4 linked regions of the Caenorhabditis elegans genome follow. The protein of the gene in region 3 purifies or fractionates together with the protein of the main gene of each other region. This does not show direct contact. Each region holds a gene or a part of one and is shown on either strand. Other genes may lie near its edges.

Evidence for each region.
Region 1: the proteins of pho-11 (region 3) and bre-1 fractionate together in Caenorhabditis elegans (co-fractionation; one large-scale study listed by BioGRID). This does not show direct contact.
Region 2: the proteins of pho-11 (region 3) and lec-4 fractionate together in Caenorhabditis elegans (co-fractionation; one large-scale study listed by BioGRID). This does not show direct contact.
Region 4: the proteins of pho-11 (region 3) and dcap-1 fractionate together in Caenorhabditis elegans (co-fractionation; one large-scale study listed by BioGRID). This does not show direct contact.

What each region holds. Positions count from the first base shown.
Region 1 is NC_003282.8:8,986,062-8,990,998, reverse strand, and holds bre-1 (GDP-mannose 4,6 dehydratase 1), read right to left. Parts: upstream 3,077-4,937; 5' UTR 3,012-3,076; coding exon 2,940-3,011; intron 2,423-2,939; exon of another isoform or gene 2,323-2,422; coding exon of another isoform or gene 2,302-2,322; intron 2,230-2,301; coding exon 2,119-2,229; intron 2,069-2,118; coding exon 1,856-2,068; intron 1,713-1,855; coding exon 1,382-1,712; intron 1,311-1,381; coding exon 901-1,310; intron 788-900; coding exon 725-787; 3' UTR 555-724; downstream 1-554. Other genes in the region: nstp-1 (UAA transporter), read right to left, coding at 4,315-4,519, 4,900-4,937.
Region 2 is NC_003281.10:3,770,869-3,775,126, forward strand, and holds lec-4 (Galectin), read right to left. Parts: upstream 2,459-4,258; 5' UTR 2,393-2,458; coding exon 2,390-2,392; intron 2,191-2,389; coding exon 2,075-2,190; intron 1,931-2,074; coding exon 1,819-1,930; intron 1,774-1,818; coding exon 1,396-1,773; intron 897-1,395; coding exon 654-896; 3' UTR 557-653; downstream 1-556.
Region 3 is NC_003280.10:9,930,256-9,934,966, reverse strand, and holds pho-11 (Putative acid phosphatase 11), read right to left. Parts: upstream 3,119-4,711; 5' UTR 3,105-3,118; coding exon 3,012-3,104; intron 2,927-3,011; coding exon 2,732-2,926; intron 2,685-2,731; coding exon 2,591-2,684; intron 2,371-2,590; coding exon 2,288-2,370; intron 2,194-2,287; coding exon 2,104-2,193; intron 1,818-2,103; coding exon 1,610-1,817; intron 1,566-1,609; coding exon 1,390-1,565; intron 997-1,389; coding exon 856-996; intron 811-855; coding exon 670-810; intron 624-669; coding exon 603-623; 3' UTR 536-602; downstream 1-535. Other genes in the region: C05C10.3 (putative succinyl-CoA:3-ketoacid coenzyme A transferase, mitochondrial), read left to right, coding at 97-420; C05C10.2 (DNA2/NAM7 helicase-like C-terminal domain-containing protein), read right to left, coding at 4,460-4,519, 4,636-4,711.
Region 4 is NC_003282.8:1,052,000-1,056,692, forward strand, and holds dcap-1 (mRNA-decapping enzyme 1), read right to left. Parts: upstream 2,796-4,693; 5' UTR 2,788-2,795; coding exon 2,689-2,787; intron 2,640-2,688; coding exon 2,530-2,639; intron 2,464-2,529; coding exon 1,779-2,463; intron 1,075-1,778; coding exon 970-1,074; 3' UTR 525-969; downstream 1-524. Other genes in the region: Y55F3AM.13 (FH2 domain-containing protein), read right to left, coding at 3,085-3,288, 3,336-3,481, 3,546-4,131, 4,173-4,301. UniProt on the Caenorhabditis elegans protein: Component of the decapping complex necessary for the degradation of mRNAs, both in normal mRNA turnover and in nonsense-mediated mRNA decay.

The sequences.
Region 1 (4,937 bases), on a different chromosome or scaffold from region 3:
CATTCGATAACTTTTTGAAACGACTTCCAACTAAAAATTGAGTTTCTCGACGTTCCTATTAAAATTGTGATGGACATTATAGTAAACCGATCGAATCAGTGGAACATGACGGCATGAATACGTGAAAAGATCAAAGTGTTAAGATTGAAGTGTCATAAAGTTTTTTATGAATAGTGATATCATTGAGATCTTAGCGAGGACACCTGAACTAGACATTTGAACCCAAGTCTTTTAAGTTTTTTGGGTTCAGTGAGAGGCATGAACAGTGACCGAAAGATGAAGATTCATTATTTTTCTTTCTCGAAATCTTTTTTAAATTTGTCGAAACTTAAGTTGTAGGTGGTGCCAGAGAAACATTAGAGAAAAACAAAAAACTACATGGACATTGAAAGTATTTCTCGAGACATTCAGGTAGAGTGAGGCGTTGCGTGGCGCTTCTCTCCTTCAACTCGCCCTCTTTGGACCCTAGTGGCTGCATCCGTGCGTTGCGTCCTTGCTGAATGTCTAGTTAGTTTCCAATAGTAAATATTTGTTTTTTACCAAAAAATCTACATCCCGAAACAGAATGCTTCATTGTTCAAAAAAAGGAAGGTCAAATAATAATCCCAGAGGTCCCAAAAGCATCACAGCAATCATCAATAAGTTAGGTAGAATAACAGAGAAAACGGGAACTATTAAAAAATAATAAAGCAATTTGGAAATTGTGATCGAGTTGATTAAATGATTAAGCCATTGGATTGGACTTCATAAGGATAATGTCGCTTGCAACCATCTCTTTGACGAGTTCCTGAAATATATAATTTTCATGGATTTCGATAAGTAAAACCATTCTTCAATTACAATGGTTTTTATAAGTTCAAAATTTAATTATAAAAACCTTGAATACTTTTTGAAACTCACCGGAACCGTAACCTTTGCTTCCCATCCAAGAGTCTTCTTTGCTTTTTCAGCATTTCCCAATAAAGTCTCCACTTCAGTTGGTCTGTAGTACTTTGGACTAACTTTAACTCGAATAACTCCATCTTTATTCTTTCCAACTTCCTCAACACCTTCTCCTTCCCATTGCAATACTTCTCCAATTTCAGCAAATGCAAGATTACAAAACTCTCTGACACTGAATTGTTTTCCAGTTGCAATCACAAAATCATCTGGTGAGTCGTGTTGAAGAATTCTCCACATTGCTTCAACATACTCTCTGGCGTGTCCCCAATCACGAAGAGCACTCAGATTTCCGAGCTCAATGCTTTCCTGTTGCCCCAAACTGATTTTAGCGACTGAACGAGTGATCTTACGAGTCACGAATGTCTCTCCTGAAATACCAACATGAGAGTTGCTTTCAATTTTGCAGGCTTTTTTTTGCAGTTTGAAAAATTTGACGTACCTCTTCTTGGACTCTCATGGTTGAACAAAATTCCATTGCAAGCAAACATATTGTAGGCTTCACGATAGTTAACAACAATCCAGTACCCGTACATCTTGGCAACAGCATATGGAGATCTTGGATAGAATGGAGTCTTCTCACTTTGTGGAATCTCTTGAACTTTTCCATACAATTCGGATGTGGATGCTTGATAGAATCGAACTTTTTCAGTCAAACGACAAGCATGGATTGCATCGAGAAGGCGAAGAGTTCCAACAGCGTCTACTTCAGCAGTGTATTCTGGCAAATCAAAAGACACTTTGACGTGAGATTGAGCAGCCAAATGATACACCTAGAAAGAACATAATTAACTGGTTATATTTTGAGAACATATAAAACGGAGGTACAGAAAAATCTTAACACGCAGACAGACATTTTTGTCTGTCTGCGTGAAGCTTGGAATATTTGTAATTCTGTATGAATAACAATACTCACTTCGGTTGGCTCGATAGTTGAAATGAGCTTGATGAGACAAGATGAATCAGTCATATCTCCATAGTGAAGAGAGAATGAAGAATCACCGTGATGAGTAATTGGATTACTGTACAGATGTTCGATTCTTGCGGTATTGAATGAAGATGAACGACGGATGATTCCGTGAACTTTGTATCCTTTTGAAAGAAGAAGCTCAGCAAGATATGAACCGTCCTGAAAAAAGTGCTGGCGTAAATACGAAGCAAGAAAAATGATTAACATACTTGTCCAGAAATTCCAGTAATCAGAGCAACCTTGCGTGCTCTGAAAGCAGCCAACTCAGCAGCTGGAGTAGTGGACACTTCGTGGCTCATTCCGATACACGCTTCAAGACCCTGAAATTTAGAATTTTTGATATCCTATTTAAAATTACCAATCTCCCAAAGACAAAGGAACATCCTATTTACCTGTTCAGCACTAGAATCCATTTCAATTCTATTCACAAAAAGGGGGATAAATTAGGCTAACTGATAAAACTATCAGAATGATTGAGAATGTACAAAAAGCCAACAGTTAATGCAATTCGGGACACCCAAAAGCGACACGTAGGAGAGGCAATCGAAAGAGAGAGGGAGAGAGAGGGAAAAGAGGCGAAACATGGAAAAAGGGACGTGGCACTTCATTTTACGGAAAATGTATAAATGTACCAATCCTAGGCTGTGTCAATATAATAGGGGAGCATTTAGAATTGTACTAATGCAAAGTAATTAGGATACTTTTTAAATGTAAAGCGGTATGGTTAGGAAATTATAATTTCTCTATATTTTCCAGAAGACCAACATATCTTTTAAATCGGTCAAAAATACCTAGAATGTTTTAGATTTTGAACTTTTCAGTTAAGATTTTGACAATCTGCCAAACTTTGGAAACACATAATTTTTGATCAGTTTAAAACATTCATGCATTATTCGACGGTGTACTAAATTAATACAAATAATTAAAATATGAAATTCCACTAGAGCTGATCTAATTCAAGGAAATCAGTATTTATAAGACTAGGATTAAATATATAGAATTTGATAACCTTAACAAATCAGTCACATACCTCAACTTTAGATATTTCCATGTTACCAACAACTTCAGAAATATCAGAAGATTCAGACTTGCCGGTTGGCATTGCAACGGTTCAATTTAGATTTCGAATAAGAATGAAAATAATGAGGAAAAGCTGAGGAACACGCCCCCAGAATCAGGATTTTTCTCAAATAGTGGAGGATAAAAATCTAACCGTGTTCGATGGAAGAAAGATAGAGAATCCCGAATTTATTTGAGACAATGAGTGTATAGATTGGAAGAATAGAAGACGGAAAAGCCGGAGAGATTCTTATTCATTAACAAACTGGAACACGAAAATGAAAAAAAAAGAAGTGCCGTCTGATGCATTAAAAATTTCTAGATTATTTTCAACAAATACCTGATTATTTCCATTGGAACAAGTCTGACAGAATATTTTTGAATCATGTGAGTTCATTGTTTCAAATATTTGTTTCGTCTAGAAGTGCATTTTAAGTATAAAGACGAAGGAATTTGCCAAGGAAACGTACATAGCAACCAAAGAATTGGAATATTTCCCATAGAAACCAGAGACAAAACGACGACAAATTAGGACTCTATTGATGAATTATTTGAAATTGAGCAATTTATTATTCAGCTTTAAAATTTTCAAAAATTTTAAAGATGAGCTTTCTCATTTTCTAAAAATATGTATCGTGGCAAGACCAATGATGTCTCAATGGAGCGCACTTTATTATGCAACCAAATTCCCAATATTCATCAATAGATTTTTTAATAAAAATATCAAACCTCAATTTTCGCATTTTGATCAGCCATTTTTACTCTTAAAAACGAGAATTAATGATGGTATGAATTTCAAAATAATAATTTTAATTAAATATAAAAAAATATTTAAATATATTAATTTATTCCACGTTAAAGAAACGTTTCATTTCATTTCAAAAATTTCAATTCCACGTTCAGAAAACGTTTCAATTGCCTAACAACAGTAAGAAGAAGATAATTAGAGAAACAGAGAAAGTGTGTTACGTGGTGAAGGTGCGGCTATGGTGATAACTGATAATATTAATAATGATAAGAAGACCCGTTCTTTTGTACTCAAGGCTCATTTTGCTCATGGAGCCGGGCCACAAAAATCAATAAATTTGCATCCTGAAGCCCTATGCCTACTCTCAACGTGGGGACGCTTTGCCAGTTGGCGTTTCTCACTGTCTCCGTCTCTAGGTTTACTCCACTCTCTCGCGTGTATTTTTGAAATGTAAAATATCCACATCAACAGTGGAAATATAGTCTACTTGTGTATTCGATTATCAATTCATAGTGCAAATAGTTTATTATCACATTGTTCTGAAATGTTCCATGCAAAAAATGATACAAATTCGAGATGATGAAGAGAGATTGATATCTTAAAAGCGGGCAAATGACACTGAAAAAAGGATTGTTCCAATGAAAACAAATGCGGCACCGATGATGTGAAACATGTTGAAAACGTTTTCAAAAACTATAAATGAGATCAAAAGCGAAAAGAATTTTCGGAGAGTTAGGACCATTGTCACGTTTAGAGATGTTGTCACGGCGGAGAGCATGTAGACACCTTTTGTGCAAGCGAATCTATAATATATAAGAATAAGAAAAATTGACCATTGAAACAAAAATGTTTTTGTTTTTTTTAATTTCTTCCGCGGAGACCCGACGTTTTGGCAAATTGCCAAACTCTTCGAAAATTATTTCGAAAATTTTTAGTTTTTCGAGAACCTATAGAGAAATACACATTTAGGTACATCAGGTGCATATTATTAAAATATTTTTTGGTTCAATTTTAAAAGTTTGAGTGACAAAAACTAAATAATTTCAATTTTTGATTGTGAATGAAACAATTAAAACGTTATTGAACAGTTTAATTTTGATATTAAGCCATTTCAGAAAAATGCCCACTGACTATACTTCACTTTCAAAGTTTAACGTCAAATTAAATAATCACTAGAACTTACTGGAATAGGCAAATTGCAAAAATATACACCCATGCCGA
Region 2 (4,258 bases), on a different chromosome or scaffold from region 3:
AAGGTGAGATACGAAAAGGGGAGCTGGTACTGTGCCAAACGCACAAAACGCTTTTTTATTCTCATTCAACGCACGACTTTTTTTGTATTTTACGCTAAACAACACATTGTCTCGAAGTTGTCACCACATTTTTTATTGGGTGATTTTGTTAATTTTAATAACTTTGAAAATTAGTATCTGCCTTAAAATGAACTTTTTTGAAACTGTTTCGTCGGGGACTTGTTTCAAATTGTAAGCGCTTTCAGAATTTAATTAAAAAAATTTTCTAGATGCCAGGAGCTTCCAGTTCAATCAAAAAAACCCAATTTCAGGCATATAAATAACTCAATTTTTTTCCAAACTACAATACTCCTACAGCATTCATACAGTACTTCTACAGTACTACAGCTCCCTGTTCCTACAGTACTACTACAGTACCCTGACCATATCTCCCCCCTAACCCTTAACCAATATCCCTTCAAAACTTTGCAGACTACAAAGACTACATAGACTACAAACTATGGACAGACGAACTGAATTTTTCAATATATAAGTAATGTTAATACATACAAATAAAAATCAATTCGAATTTATTTTTAAAAAAGCAAGAAGATTATTTAATTTACATATTAATTGTTATACATTATGCAATTATTTCCCAGAAAACGCGAAATTTAATGCGAAAACTCAATACCAGTGACCTCAACCTCTCCATCAATTCTGAGTCCAATGTAGTCACCAATTGGATTCTGGGTACGGTGCTGGAAAGTTCCGAAGCGTTCGCGATTGATGAAGATTTGAATGGAATATTCTTCGTTGACAATGGTCAAATCGAATCCGACGTCCTTCTTGAATGGGAATCCACCTTCACGTTCCTCGGTGTCCCAGAATCCATTACGGTGAGAGTTACGGACGACCTAGAAGAAAAACATGGTGAATTCAAAATGATAATTATGTGGGGAACACGTAGAGGGAGAGGGACCTAATTTTTTTGATTATAGGGAAAAGTTAAATCAAATTTTTTAAAGTTTCTTTATTGTAAAAAATATTTTTTTTTTACTGTTTCGAATTTTTCTATTTTTATTTTCTTTCAGAAACACCAATTATTAGTCGAAAATTGAAAATCGTAAAGGAGAACTTGTGTTTTTGTAATTTTTTTAAACTACTAAAATCAGAATATTATCGGAAATCTCAGTTTTTTTCGATTTGCAAAAATAATTTTTTAAACATTTATTAATGCAAAACAATTAAGACACTGAGAGTACCAAACTTATCAGAATTGTTTTCAAAAACTAAAAAACAACTGTTTCAATAAATTGTTTAAATCTCGAATTTTCGATTTTGAAGAGAAAAAACGCGCAAAATCAAAATGCAAAAAACTTGAGCAGCCGACACTTCCCGAGTGCCAAAACTCACCGCCTTATCCTTGATTCTTGGATTGAAATGGAACAAAATATCCTGATTACGAGCGACCAAATCAAGTGACCAACGATCACCCTTTGGAATACCATACAAATGAACACGTTGTCCCTTTTCAAGAAATCCAGCTGGGAATGCGGTCTCCCATGGAAGTTTATAGAATCTTCCACCCCAATGAATTCCATTCAAGGAAAGGTCACCACGAACAGAAAGATATTCAATGGATTGGAATGGAAGACGATGTTTGAACTCGTGGATCTTCTTGTTGTCAGCCGAGATTTCAAGGCCTTCGTCGAGAACTCGGATGCGAAGATCGAATTCTTGTCCAGCTTGGAATGGAAGAGACTCGCGCTCTTCTTTTCCCCACACTCCATTCTGAAAATCACGGGATTAAAGTTATATATTTCTAGTAAAATGTACCTCGTAAGAGTTGAGAATAACTTTCTTTTCCTTAAAATTGAGCTTCAAGTGGAGGATCACTTGGGTGTTTGGTCCAATTTCACCACCTCCCTGGAGAAGATTGATCTCGGCTCTGAAATATGGCTTGTTTCAAAAGTTCACCTAAAATATGATACATTCAGTGCTTTTTATTGCCTGCCTCCAGGCACCAGACAGAAAAAATGTAGGCACGTAGGTAGGCACCTAGTCAGCTAATAGGAAAACCCCCTGAACTTACACCTGTGCTCCCTCGTTGATCTTTCCGTGAACATTCAATGTCTGTCCAGCGTCGAGTGGTTGTCCGAGACGAGACGTGTACGGAACTGGGAGAGGGGTGTCGTTCTCGTGAGAGCTCTAAAAGGAGCGTTTTATTTTTTGTGAAAATTATTTTAAATCGTTGAATGTTAAATTTCAAAATCCAAATTAGATATTAAAACTTTTAACTACAACAATAACGGTTGAATATGTTTTACAAGTTATAAATTTTATGAATACTTTTTTTTAGATAAATCTGACATCTAGTTCAAAAAATTTCAATATTTTCTAGACTTACCATTTTTGGATAGCAGTCGATATAGCGTGTCAACAGCAATGAAGACTAACTTTCAAGTCAGAGGCCGACCTGGAAAGAGGCGGGCTAACTTGTGGACAAACAGACGAGAGAGTAAGAGAAACAAGAGATTGGAAAATGAAATGCCGAAGGACAAAACGAAAAACAAAAAATATCGGGTAAACAAGAGATTGGCAGAGAAAAAGAGTGTTTGTGTTCTTTTGAATTTTTTGGGGGATAGGTGGTCGCTGAGCGCGGAGGACAATAAAAGTGTTTGAACTGCACTGAGACTGAGAACTGATGAAATTTCAAAAGGATGGTGAGTAATATGCGAAGTGATGTATAGTGATATTGTGATATGAAAAGAAAAAACAATTTGAACTCTGAACTCTATAGGACTTTTGAAATACTCCAGTTTCAGCAATCTGTATCTCTGTAATCTTTAGTTTTACCAAAAAAATTTTCAACAGCCAATTTACGCATCTAGTTGTTATCTATATTTCAATAGTTGAAAATTTTTTAATATCTTCAAAAACAGCCGAGATATAAGCTTATAAAGTTGAGCAGATTAGAAAAAAGGGGAAAATTTTTCTAACTGAGATATTCGTTTCAAAAATTTTTTTAATGTTAAAAAAATGTTTTTTACTCAAAAAATTTCAAAAATTATTTTTAGATTAAAAAAATTACAAGAAACTCAAATTCTCAACTTCATTTTTATCAAAATTCCAAAAACTTATTGAAAACATATTTTACAATTATTACAAAAACATGAAAAAAATCTGCTAATATTCTACAAAAATTTCAAAACAAAATAGTAGATCAGATTTTTTAACACTTTCATAAACAGACTGACGACACCCTTTCTCAAATCGTAAACAATATGTTTTCAGAACAATTAAAGGTGAGTCAAGAGGGCAATAAACATGTAAAACTGTAAAAATTGCCGGCTTTTGGTCATCTCGTTTCAGAAAAACGGGAATTTTTTTTAGAATGGTTTTTGATATGATCATTAAATTCAACTTACAGTTCTTATTGGTAATAATATTTTAACTGGTTAAAAAAGGAAATAATCTACATACATAATTCGAATTTTTAATTTACAATTTTAAAACTACTTCAAAGAGAGCTGAGATAAAATCTGTTGAAATTATGATCAGAAGTCATATTTCAAATTGAAGTAACTTATCTGCTTGCTTGATGCCTACCTGCCGCCTGCCTCGCAAGTTTTTTGTAAGCAAAAGTCAAGTTTAGGTAGCTTCAGGCGTCTACTTTTGCTGTTCAAAATGCTCCTCTCATGCTATTTTGCTACTTTTCTGTTGGTAATCCCTCTAGATTTCTCATCAAATTGCAGTCATATAGGCGGTTGGAAAGTGGGCAGAAAATTATTAAGCAGGCAGGTAGGCATCAGGAACCATGGACGTCTTACTTCATCTAAATAATGCTCAGAACTCCGTTGTCACCTGTCGAAAAAAGTTCAAAAAGCTATCCATTTCAACTAGTGGCAGTTCATCTCCGTTTCCTCTTCCGTCTCAGTTTTAAATTCAAAAAGTGACCCTGACACTGACTCATGTTTCTTTTCCACCTCTTCTCCCTGGCCTTTTGTCGGCGACTTTATGTTTGTGTGGTTTGAGGGCCAAATTTGAAAAATATTCATTTTGAAAACTAATTAGCACCGCGTATCGCAGAGAACAATTAAGTATTGCATAACAATAAAGTATACCGGGATACAAAAAAGGGAAGGCAACAAGTTGAGCAAAAATATATTGGTACTTTTTTGAGAGACCCGTTTTTAGAATCGGTGAGGATTTTGAGGAGAAACATAGAGATTCAGGTAGAGGTGAGGCTATCAGGTAGGCATGCCTACCTGAAAGA
Region 3 (4,711 bases):
ACGAAAAACCCCCAAAAACAAAAAATTTAGACAACTTCATAAAAATATACTTTTCCGCTTAATCTTCCATCTTAATAAATTTCTAAAATTTTCCAGGGAAAATTGGTGAAAGGAATGGGCGGTGCAATGGATCTTGTCTCTGCTCCCGGAGCCCGTGTGATCGTTGTAATGGAGCATGTATCGAAGAACGGAGAGCCAAAAATTCTAGAGCACTGCGAACTTCCTCTGACCGGCAAAGGAGTAATTTCCCGAATCATTACTGATATGGCAGTTTTCGACGTGGACACAAAGAACGGATTGACATTGATCGAAGTCAGGAAGGATCTTACTGTAGATGATATCAAGAAACTCACCGCTTGCAAATTCGAAATTTCCGAAAATCTGAAGCCAATGGGACAGGCTCCTCTTAATCAAGGATAATTTGTCAATTTTGACAAATTTCCGTGAAATGTGTAAATACTTCTTTAGTCCGTTGTTTGTTACTTTTTTGTCTTTTGCCTATAATACCGGTTTAGGATTGTGTGAACAAAAAGAGTTTTAATGAAATAGTTCATAAAAAAATATAAAAATTGAGTTACAACAAAAATTACAGTTCCAGTAATTCATAGAGGAGTTTTGCAGAGCTGAAAATTTTTTATAAAGTCGAAATTTTTGGAAACAAGAGCTTACAGTAGTAATATCTGGAAGTGGCTTCAGTGTCTCGGCCAAAGTCTGAAGAGCTCCAAGTGGACACAAGGTGGCTCCATTACAAATTGGAAGTTGACTTGTCACATCAGAAATCGGAGTGTCATCTCCTTCACGGTACAGAACCTGAAAATTTAATTGTTCGAATTTTCTGGTTTCTCTCTGGAATACCTTGAAGAATCTCTCGTTTGTTGACGTGTTTCTGTGGAATTCCATAAATATTCCAGCTGCGTATGCTGGCCATCCGTCAAGTGTGTTAGCGATTTGTGGAATACCAAGAGCAACCAGGACACCGTACACATTGTTGTCATGCTGGAAAACGAATTTGTTGTGAGATCTTGGAAAATTGATTTCAAAAATTAAAAAAAACATTTTTTTTGTCAAAATTTTTTTTTCTGAAAATCCTGAAAAAATTCGCATGAAAAGTAACTAGCTTTTCTTTTCTTTTTTTTTATATTTCAATTTCTTAGAGTTACCTACAATGCTTGCCTACATTCCGACAAGCCTTGACTGGTGCCTCGGCATGAGGTAGGCAGAGGTAGCTAGGGATGAACAGATTCCTACCTACTATGATGGTATACTTAACTTCCAGTCAAGTACAGTAATACTACCGTAGTCTACCGTATTCCCAACTACGGTAAGATCGTGGCTAGATATCATGCATTTTTGAACTTAAATTATGGAGTAAACTTTAAAATCTCTTACAATAGAATATCCATAGAATTTCAGCTTATTCAAATAGCTAGTGCAGTTTTGTCCCAGCTCTGCACAATTCAATTTTTCATTGGCACGATTGAAAACTTCATTGATAATAACTCCGGATCGAACTTTTTTGATTTCAAGACCCACATCGAGCCCGGAAGAAGTGACAGCAGGATTCTCTGAAACCAAGCTTCACTGAGACTTTAATCTCGTCCCAACTAACCAAAATTTCCCTCTAAAAATCCCTTAACCGGAGCATATGTAACTTGGGCTTGATAGTAGAGTTCTTCATTGTACCATGGAAGCTTCGCGTACATAGTTCTGTTGAAATATGCTCTCTGGCATTTCCACGTATCTGGGTATGTTGTGAAGGAGTCTAGGCCAGATGTCATGTTGTAATATCCACCGACACGACGGTTAAGTAGGACCACCTAAAAATTGAAATTCAGAGGAGGCACGTGCCTGCCTACCGTCTATTTTCTACATTCAGGCAGTCAGGATTTAAACTACAATATTTGAGATTCACATATTGTAGCTTTACGCATTTGATCGAATGATAAATGAACAATCGTTCACGAAAAACTTGACAGTAGGTCTACTAGTAGGCAAGCGTCTAGGCGGAAGGCAGGCATTTTAGGCGCCTGTTCATAGTTACCGACAAAGCCATCACAACGTGAATACGGTTACCGATGATAGTATAATTCAATCAAACCTTACCTGCGTATACTTTGGCAAAACTTCCGGAAGAGTCAACATCTGCCCTTGGAGAAGATCGTATCTTGTGCATGGACAGTTCTGACTAGCGGCCTGGAAAGGTTTGTAATAATTTTGTAATTTTAACTGGCACGCGCAGTAAGATTATTTAAGACTACTCGAGAACCAATGTAAATTTACAACATACACACTGATCCGGACCATCGACGTGAACTGGAACAAACGTGAATCCAGGGAACCAAGTGAGTGGGGAGTATGGATAGTCAACGTCTGAATATGGTAATCATCAAAACTAATGCATTAGAGGTAATATAATAGTTGGATTTTTGCTAATTTTATAAGAGACGTGCAGACAATTTCAATATGAAAAATTAAAAAGTAAAGATATCACTGGACTAAATTTATCTATTCGTTCAACAGAAAAAGTCATATTGGCTTTAAGTTTGAACCGTTTGGCATAAAAAATTTAATCAATTTTTTGACAACCTACTTTTGACATCATACAAGCTTGGTGGAAACAGCCCGTACAAAAGTGATTGTGCCGAAATAATGGTACGATTGAAATTAGTTGATCTAAAATATACCTGGAAATAATCATATTTTGGCACGTTCTAACATTTTTAGGGTATACCTCTCTGGACGCATACTTTGGTGTCAAAAACTTCAATTTAGTAACATATCTTTTACGAATAAGCCATCCAAGTTCGTTCATTTCTCCCATTCCAATTGCAGTCAGCTCTCCGAGACCACCTCCTCCATAAATCCAATCTTTTTCGTAAATTGGGTATTGATCAACTTGAGATGCACGTTCTCCGTGTCTCCACATCTTGAAATAATTAAAAATAAATTGTACTACCCAAGTAACTTTCACTGAGGACTAAATTTGGCATTTAGGATTTCATATAACTTACCGCTTGAACAAACTCCAATTTGACATTGCTCTGCCCATTAGCAAATACCAAAATGGCTGTTGAAGCCAACAGACTGAAAATTGAGATCATCATAATTTTTGATCTACAAATGTTCCTATATCAGAACAACCTATTTAAAGAGTTGAGCTCGTTAAAAAAACCATAAAAATTGTTTCAAAATCATATCTTCAGATAGAAAATGAATAAAAATATGGTCAGTTTAATAGATATAACTATCCCGCGTTTCGATTTTCTCGTGATTACATGATAAAGCCATGTACTTTTCAGAGTGATGATAGACTGAACTCATAAAATTGGTGTGAAAGAATATGTAAACAAACTAGGTCTGCAACATTTTTTCTTATCGAATGGATATTTTATCAATTCTGGTCTAAAGTCGAAATATATGCTATCTAAAAGTTTGTGACCATGGCCGTGATCTTTGAGCACTTTTGAAAGTACCATTTATCGAATGTTGCAAAATTCATGAAACAGTCTCTGTCAGAACTATTCATGTTTTTAGTTTTTAGTATTTTTTCCAGATATATTTTTTTGCGTTTTCCAGATCTTGGGCAGGCGTTAGGCACATCCTGATTAGGTCTTGGCACAGGGCGAAGTTTACCAAAAATTTTTGGCACGTGCTCGCTGGCTGCCTCAAAATTCATGTTTTCTCGCGGACAAGAAAACTTGAGAAATGTGAGCAAATGGCCTTGAAAATCCTGGAAGAGGAGAATTCCTCGTCCACCGCCAAAATAGCGTGTGAAAGAAGAGACGCAGATGGCAAAACGGTTATCCTTTGTGTTTTTCACGTCCAGAGAAAAAAGTATTATCTGCGTCTCTCACCGCCAATGCATAGCGAGAGTTTGCAAAAAGCATTAATCTGTTAAAAAATTTGACTAAAGTTGGCAGAGCCATTTAATGCGTTTTTTAGTTCGTTCGTGAATAGTCCTACCAACAAAAACAACAGTTAATTTGTAAAGTATCCATTAAAGGATTTGAACTGTTAGTTCTCAATTAGAAAAATAAAGGTATTAGTTGAATTTTTCTTCATGGTTACTCTATATCTTTTTAATGGCTATTATATTGTACGCACTTAAAACCAACTTTGAAAATTTATAGTTTTTTATTTCTAAATTGTAATACATATTACAAGTTTTATTTTACCATAATTCTCTTGGTCCCAACTTTTTCCGTACAATTTCTGAAAATGTTTAAACATTCTTCTGTGATTCAATGTCTTCAAAAGAATTTCCAAGACAGACAAAATCCATTTCATATAAAAATGGAACACTCAATTTCAACAGAAAAAAAACACTCAATTTCAACAGAAAAAAAAAATTAAAACAACCAAAAAGTGAAAGCTTGGAGATGGAAACAAAAGATCATCATGAAAATTTGATATGAATACAAACGGTAAAAACAACTAGTAGAAGACTAAAATTGGATATTTATGTTGATTTCTGGATGGTGGGCCAATCTCCATACGTCTCGTCATCCCATTTCTGAAACTATTATCGGATTAGATCAGTCAATGTTTGGATTACAGTATGTAAAAGTTACTTTTACTGCGATGATATAAACTTTTAAACATTAAAAAATGGCAAATAATGAATGCCCTGCTTACCCCAACAAATTCTGGATTCAATGAGTTAGTCACGCTCCGTTGGCTACCGTAATCATTGTTACTTTGTCTTTTAACG
Region 4 (4,693 bases), on a different chromosome or scaffold from region 3:
AAATGAATAATGATAATCTTTATTCCAAATGGCTCAACACGAAAATTGATGCCGACTTTCTTTAAAAGTTTTTGTGCACATATTTTGCATACATGAAAATGTTTATTCTATTAATATACACGGGGTTCCGGCCTTCCTCAATGGATTTTTCGCGCTCCATTGACAATCGCTCGCCGGACAACGCATGGGAAAGTGGTGCACTCCACTCGGACAAATGCATTTAGTTTTACAACTAAAATCGAGCCGCAACGCGCCGTAAATCTACCCCAGATATGGCCGAACCAAAATGGCCTAGTTCGACAAACTCTTCCATTTCAATTTATGAGGGAAGCCAGAAATCCGTGCAATATTTTGCCAGCAGTTTTCTACAACTTGTCGGCGGTGTTTGAAAACGTTTACTATATTGACAAAAGTTCGTCAGTTTTGCCGTTTTTGACAATTTCCGACAACTTTCGTCAACTTTCGACAATTATCAGTAACTTTCCACAATTTTCGATAGCTTCAGCCAACTTTCTGCACTTTTTCGACGCGACTTCCTTTATTATTTTTCACAATCAAGAGTTTAGAGTAAAGTGGAGAAAATGGGGAATTTTAAATTTAAAAAAACGAAAATTTTTGGAGGGCGGTGTGGTTTGAGATATCATCAATAGGGAGACCCATTCAGTGAACAAAATATGGACAATTTTATGGGGAAAAATGAGCAAAAGGGCTCAGGAGGAATCACACAATATTCACAAAAAAATATTCGTTGAAAAAATATGGAAAGTGGGAAAAATAGAGGGAAAATGGGATTTTTCGAGCAAAAAATTGGAAATCTTCACAGGAAAAATCGGAAAAAAAAATTTCTTAGCAAAAAATCGGAGAAAATTTTGATTTTTTCACTCAAAAACCAGCAAGAAATCAGGGAAATATCGGGGAAAATTAGGATTTTTAGCAGAAAAATGAGAAAAAGGTCGAAAAAATGGGAAATTAATCGATATTTAGACGCCGATTGAGTGCACTGACGTAGGCTTGATGAATCTGTGAAACGAATTCGTCGTCGGTTTGCATTAGGTGGGCGATTGCTGAGATGAACTGAAAAAATTTGAATTTTAGGGGGTTTTCGGTGATTTTTAACGATTTTTCACAAAAATCTGAGATTTTTAGATAAATTTCGCTTTTTTCCGGAAATTTTACCGCTTTTTTATAATTTTTAGGAAAAAACGGTACTTTTTTTAAAAGAGATTTCAATACCTAAGCTAGACTAAGCCTAAGCCTATGCCTATGCCTAAGCCTAAGTTTAAGGTTAGGCCTACGCCTACGCCTAAGCCCAAGGCTAAATCTAAAGGACAAGACTAAGCTTGAGCCTAGGCCTATGCCTAAGCCTGAGCCTCAGCATAAGCCTAAGCCTAATCCTAAGCCGAAGCAGAAGCCTAAGCCTGAGCCTGAACCTAGGTCTAGGCCTGAGCCTAAGCCTGGGCCTAAAATTTTCAGCTTAAGTATCGTAATTTCATGTTGAAAAACAAATAAAGTCGATTTCAAGCTTAAAAATTGCTCATTTTCACTGAGAAAGCAGATTTTTAGCTGGAAAACCTGAATTTTCCGTTAAAAAACTGATTTTTCGCATTTTTTAGCTCCAATTTCGAGCAAAAATGGGATTTTTGACAAAATTTTTCAACTAAAATAAAGATTTTTCATGTAAATTTTCGAGATTTCTCGTGAAAAATCAGTTTTTAATTGATTTTATCTAAAAAATCTGAGCTTTTCACTCAAAAAAAAAACGTTTTTCCAGCTCCAACCTGTTCTTTATTGAGAACAGGCGTCTGTTCACCACTTCCAACGACAAATGAAGCATCAAGTGGCTCTAAAATCTCTCCTTCAGCAATATCCGACTCCACATCACCCTCCGATCCATGCAAAGGCTTCGTCGAGACCGCCGCCAACGAAATCGCCGACGTTGAGTTAGTAAATTCTTGCAAAAGATGATTCCGATGCGGTTTTGCCGACTTTATAAGATCCTTCTCGAGCTCATCGGCCGACATTGCTGCTCCCGGCTCTTTGAGCATCAGCTTCTGGAGCATTGGCGGCATTTGTTCGATCGTTGCCGCAGATTTTTGCGGCGGATTTTGCGCACTTTTTATGAGCTGGAGAAGATCCACTTTTGGTGGGGCTTGAGGAGCCATTTGTGGAGCTTGAGCTGGAGCTGCTGGAGCCTGCGTTGGAGCCGGAACCGAAGCCTGTGGAGCCTCCGAGGCGGCCTTGGCGGCCCGAGCCTGCTCCGTAGTGCTTCCTTTCAGACGATTCACGAGTTTTTGCAACAAATTGTAGATTTTCTGAGCATCATCAATCTGGTGGAACCATAGTGCTTGAATTGAGGCCAAATCCTTGTAAAAGTAGATGAAATTTCCGTCGTGGCGGAGAATATGGTTGAGGGTGAGCGGCTCGATGAAATCCGATGGATCGTTGCGATTTGCGATGAGGAAACTGAAATAAATAAGTTTAAAATTGATTATTTTAGCTATTTTTGCATGTTTTCTTGCTTCTTCTCACCTAAAATATGGCCGATCAGCTCTCTGATAGACGAAAAATGTTCCTTCGCAATTCGACTGATTCCACTCTTTTCTCGCCGCATCGATATGATAAATCGCGGCAAATGGCATCTACAAAACCAATTTTTAGCTTTAAAATCCACAATTCTCTATGTTAAACCTTGTCGAGAATCTTGCTGGCGGCGATGTCGATTTTCTGGAGTTGTGCGAGGTTTTTCGCGGCTAGCTCGGCGGCGGCCTTTTTTTTAGCGTCGCTCATACTGGTTCCTGGATGAAAATGTTGAGTTTTCGATGAAAAATGATGAGAAAAGTGCAAAAAATCTGCGGAAATCGGTGAAAATCGCGAAAAAAACAAAGAAAGACAGAATTTAAATTGAAATTCTATGGTGTAGATTTACGGTAAACAGGGCGCGCTGCGGGATTTTGGAGTATCGTTGTAATTGTAAACTGAATTTTTAAAGCAAAAAATTTGTTTCTTAAACGAAAAAATCAGATAAAAATGCAAAATAATTCATTTAAACCGAGAAAATCAAATAAAAACATCAATAAATCAAATCTAAACAATCAAAGCGTCAATCTTCTTAGCCCACAACTCCACATTGTTCGGAAGGTGCTCCCCAAGGTTCAGAAGGCTTCTGAACACAATATCAGCGACACACACCTCCCATTGAGAGCTTAACGAGTCGAAACGAGCCAGGAACTGAGAAGCTTCACGTGTGACAAAGCTCTGATCACAGGAGCCGGCAAGGATTTGCTCGGCCTGAAAGAAAATTTGATTTTTTTGGGAAAGTTTCTAAAATTTCCTACTTTTCCCAGCCAAATCGCTTGATGACTGGCGCTGAGCACTTGTTGTGGCCGTCTAGAGAAGAGCCCGAGTGAAGAGCCCAACAGCTTCCAGATAGTTTGAAGGGATTTGACGGTAGTTTTTTCCAATTGCAGGGAGGGAGCAGGGCCTGAAAATATTGAAAATTAAGGGTATATCATAAAATTCTGATTTTTAGAGAAAAAATCCCGCACCTTTCACAACTTTCAGACTGGATTTCTTCTCTTTCGTCTGATTTTTGACTTCTCCCTCAAACGAGACTCCACGGCTTGCGCCGACCTTTGCGAGAGCCCGAGCCCACGGCAAATCCACGTCCCGCACTGTCAGCGTGGCGTTTTTCAGCTGCTCCTGCGGCTCGTAGGCCACAAGGGAGGTTGGGAGATTCACGGTGAGAGTCAGATTGGTCTCCCACGTCTTTCGGTCGTCCTGGACGGTCCATGGAGTCGAATTTACGGTCTTTTTCGCGGATTTCTGTGGTGGAGCCTCTCCGGAAGCCAATTTCTTTACGGCTTCTGCCTTGGCAGCCTTGCGAGCCTCCTTCTTGGCGTCCTTGTCTAGTTTTGCGGGGGCTCCGGGGACTCCGGGAGCTGAAGAGGCTGCTCCAGCGGATTTCTCAGGCTCTTTTGGCGCTTTTTCCGCAGGTTTTTGAGCAGATCTCTCTGCTTTTCCAGCCTCTCCAAGGCTTACCAGCAACTTCTTGAGCTCTTCGGTCTGTGCTTTGAGCTGCTCGATCAGTGAGAGCTGTTTGTGCTCCAAAGCCTTGCGCGGATCGGATTCTACCTGAAATTTCAGTTTTTTTTGAGCCAAAATCCGTCTATTACCTGCACCGCATCAGAAGGCCCGACTCCTCCGAAAGATGGATTATGATACGAACCTACTGGATAGCAGGCGATTTTCGGATGAACCTCAAAATTCGGTGGGAACGTCGGTGTCAGCTTGTACATTGGCATCGCGTGATTTACCCTGGAAAATCCTATTTTATACGAAATCTTGAGATTTTTGAGATTTTCAGAGCAATCGAGAGATTGTAAGATGGAATTTCGAGAATCTAAAATTTTTCAGAAGCGTTAAAGGCACCAAAAAACATGAAATATGCTTGAAAAACTGGGAAAACCATCAAATTTCTGGAAAAAAAATTTAGAGTTTAAAACAACGATGCTCCGAATTAACAAGTGCGTGTTATTTATTTTTAGTGAATTTTTGGTATAAAATCAGCATTTTTACATGATTTATGTAATTTTTGCGGGAAATAGACGAAAAATTACCGGTTTTTACTGAATTTTGATATAAAATAGCTTGAAAACAGCTAAAAAACCCAAAAATCAGAAATAAAAGCAAATGT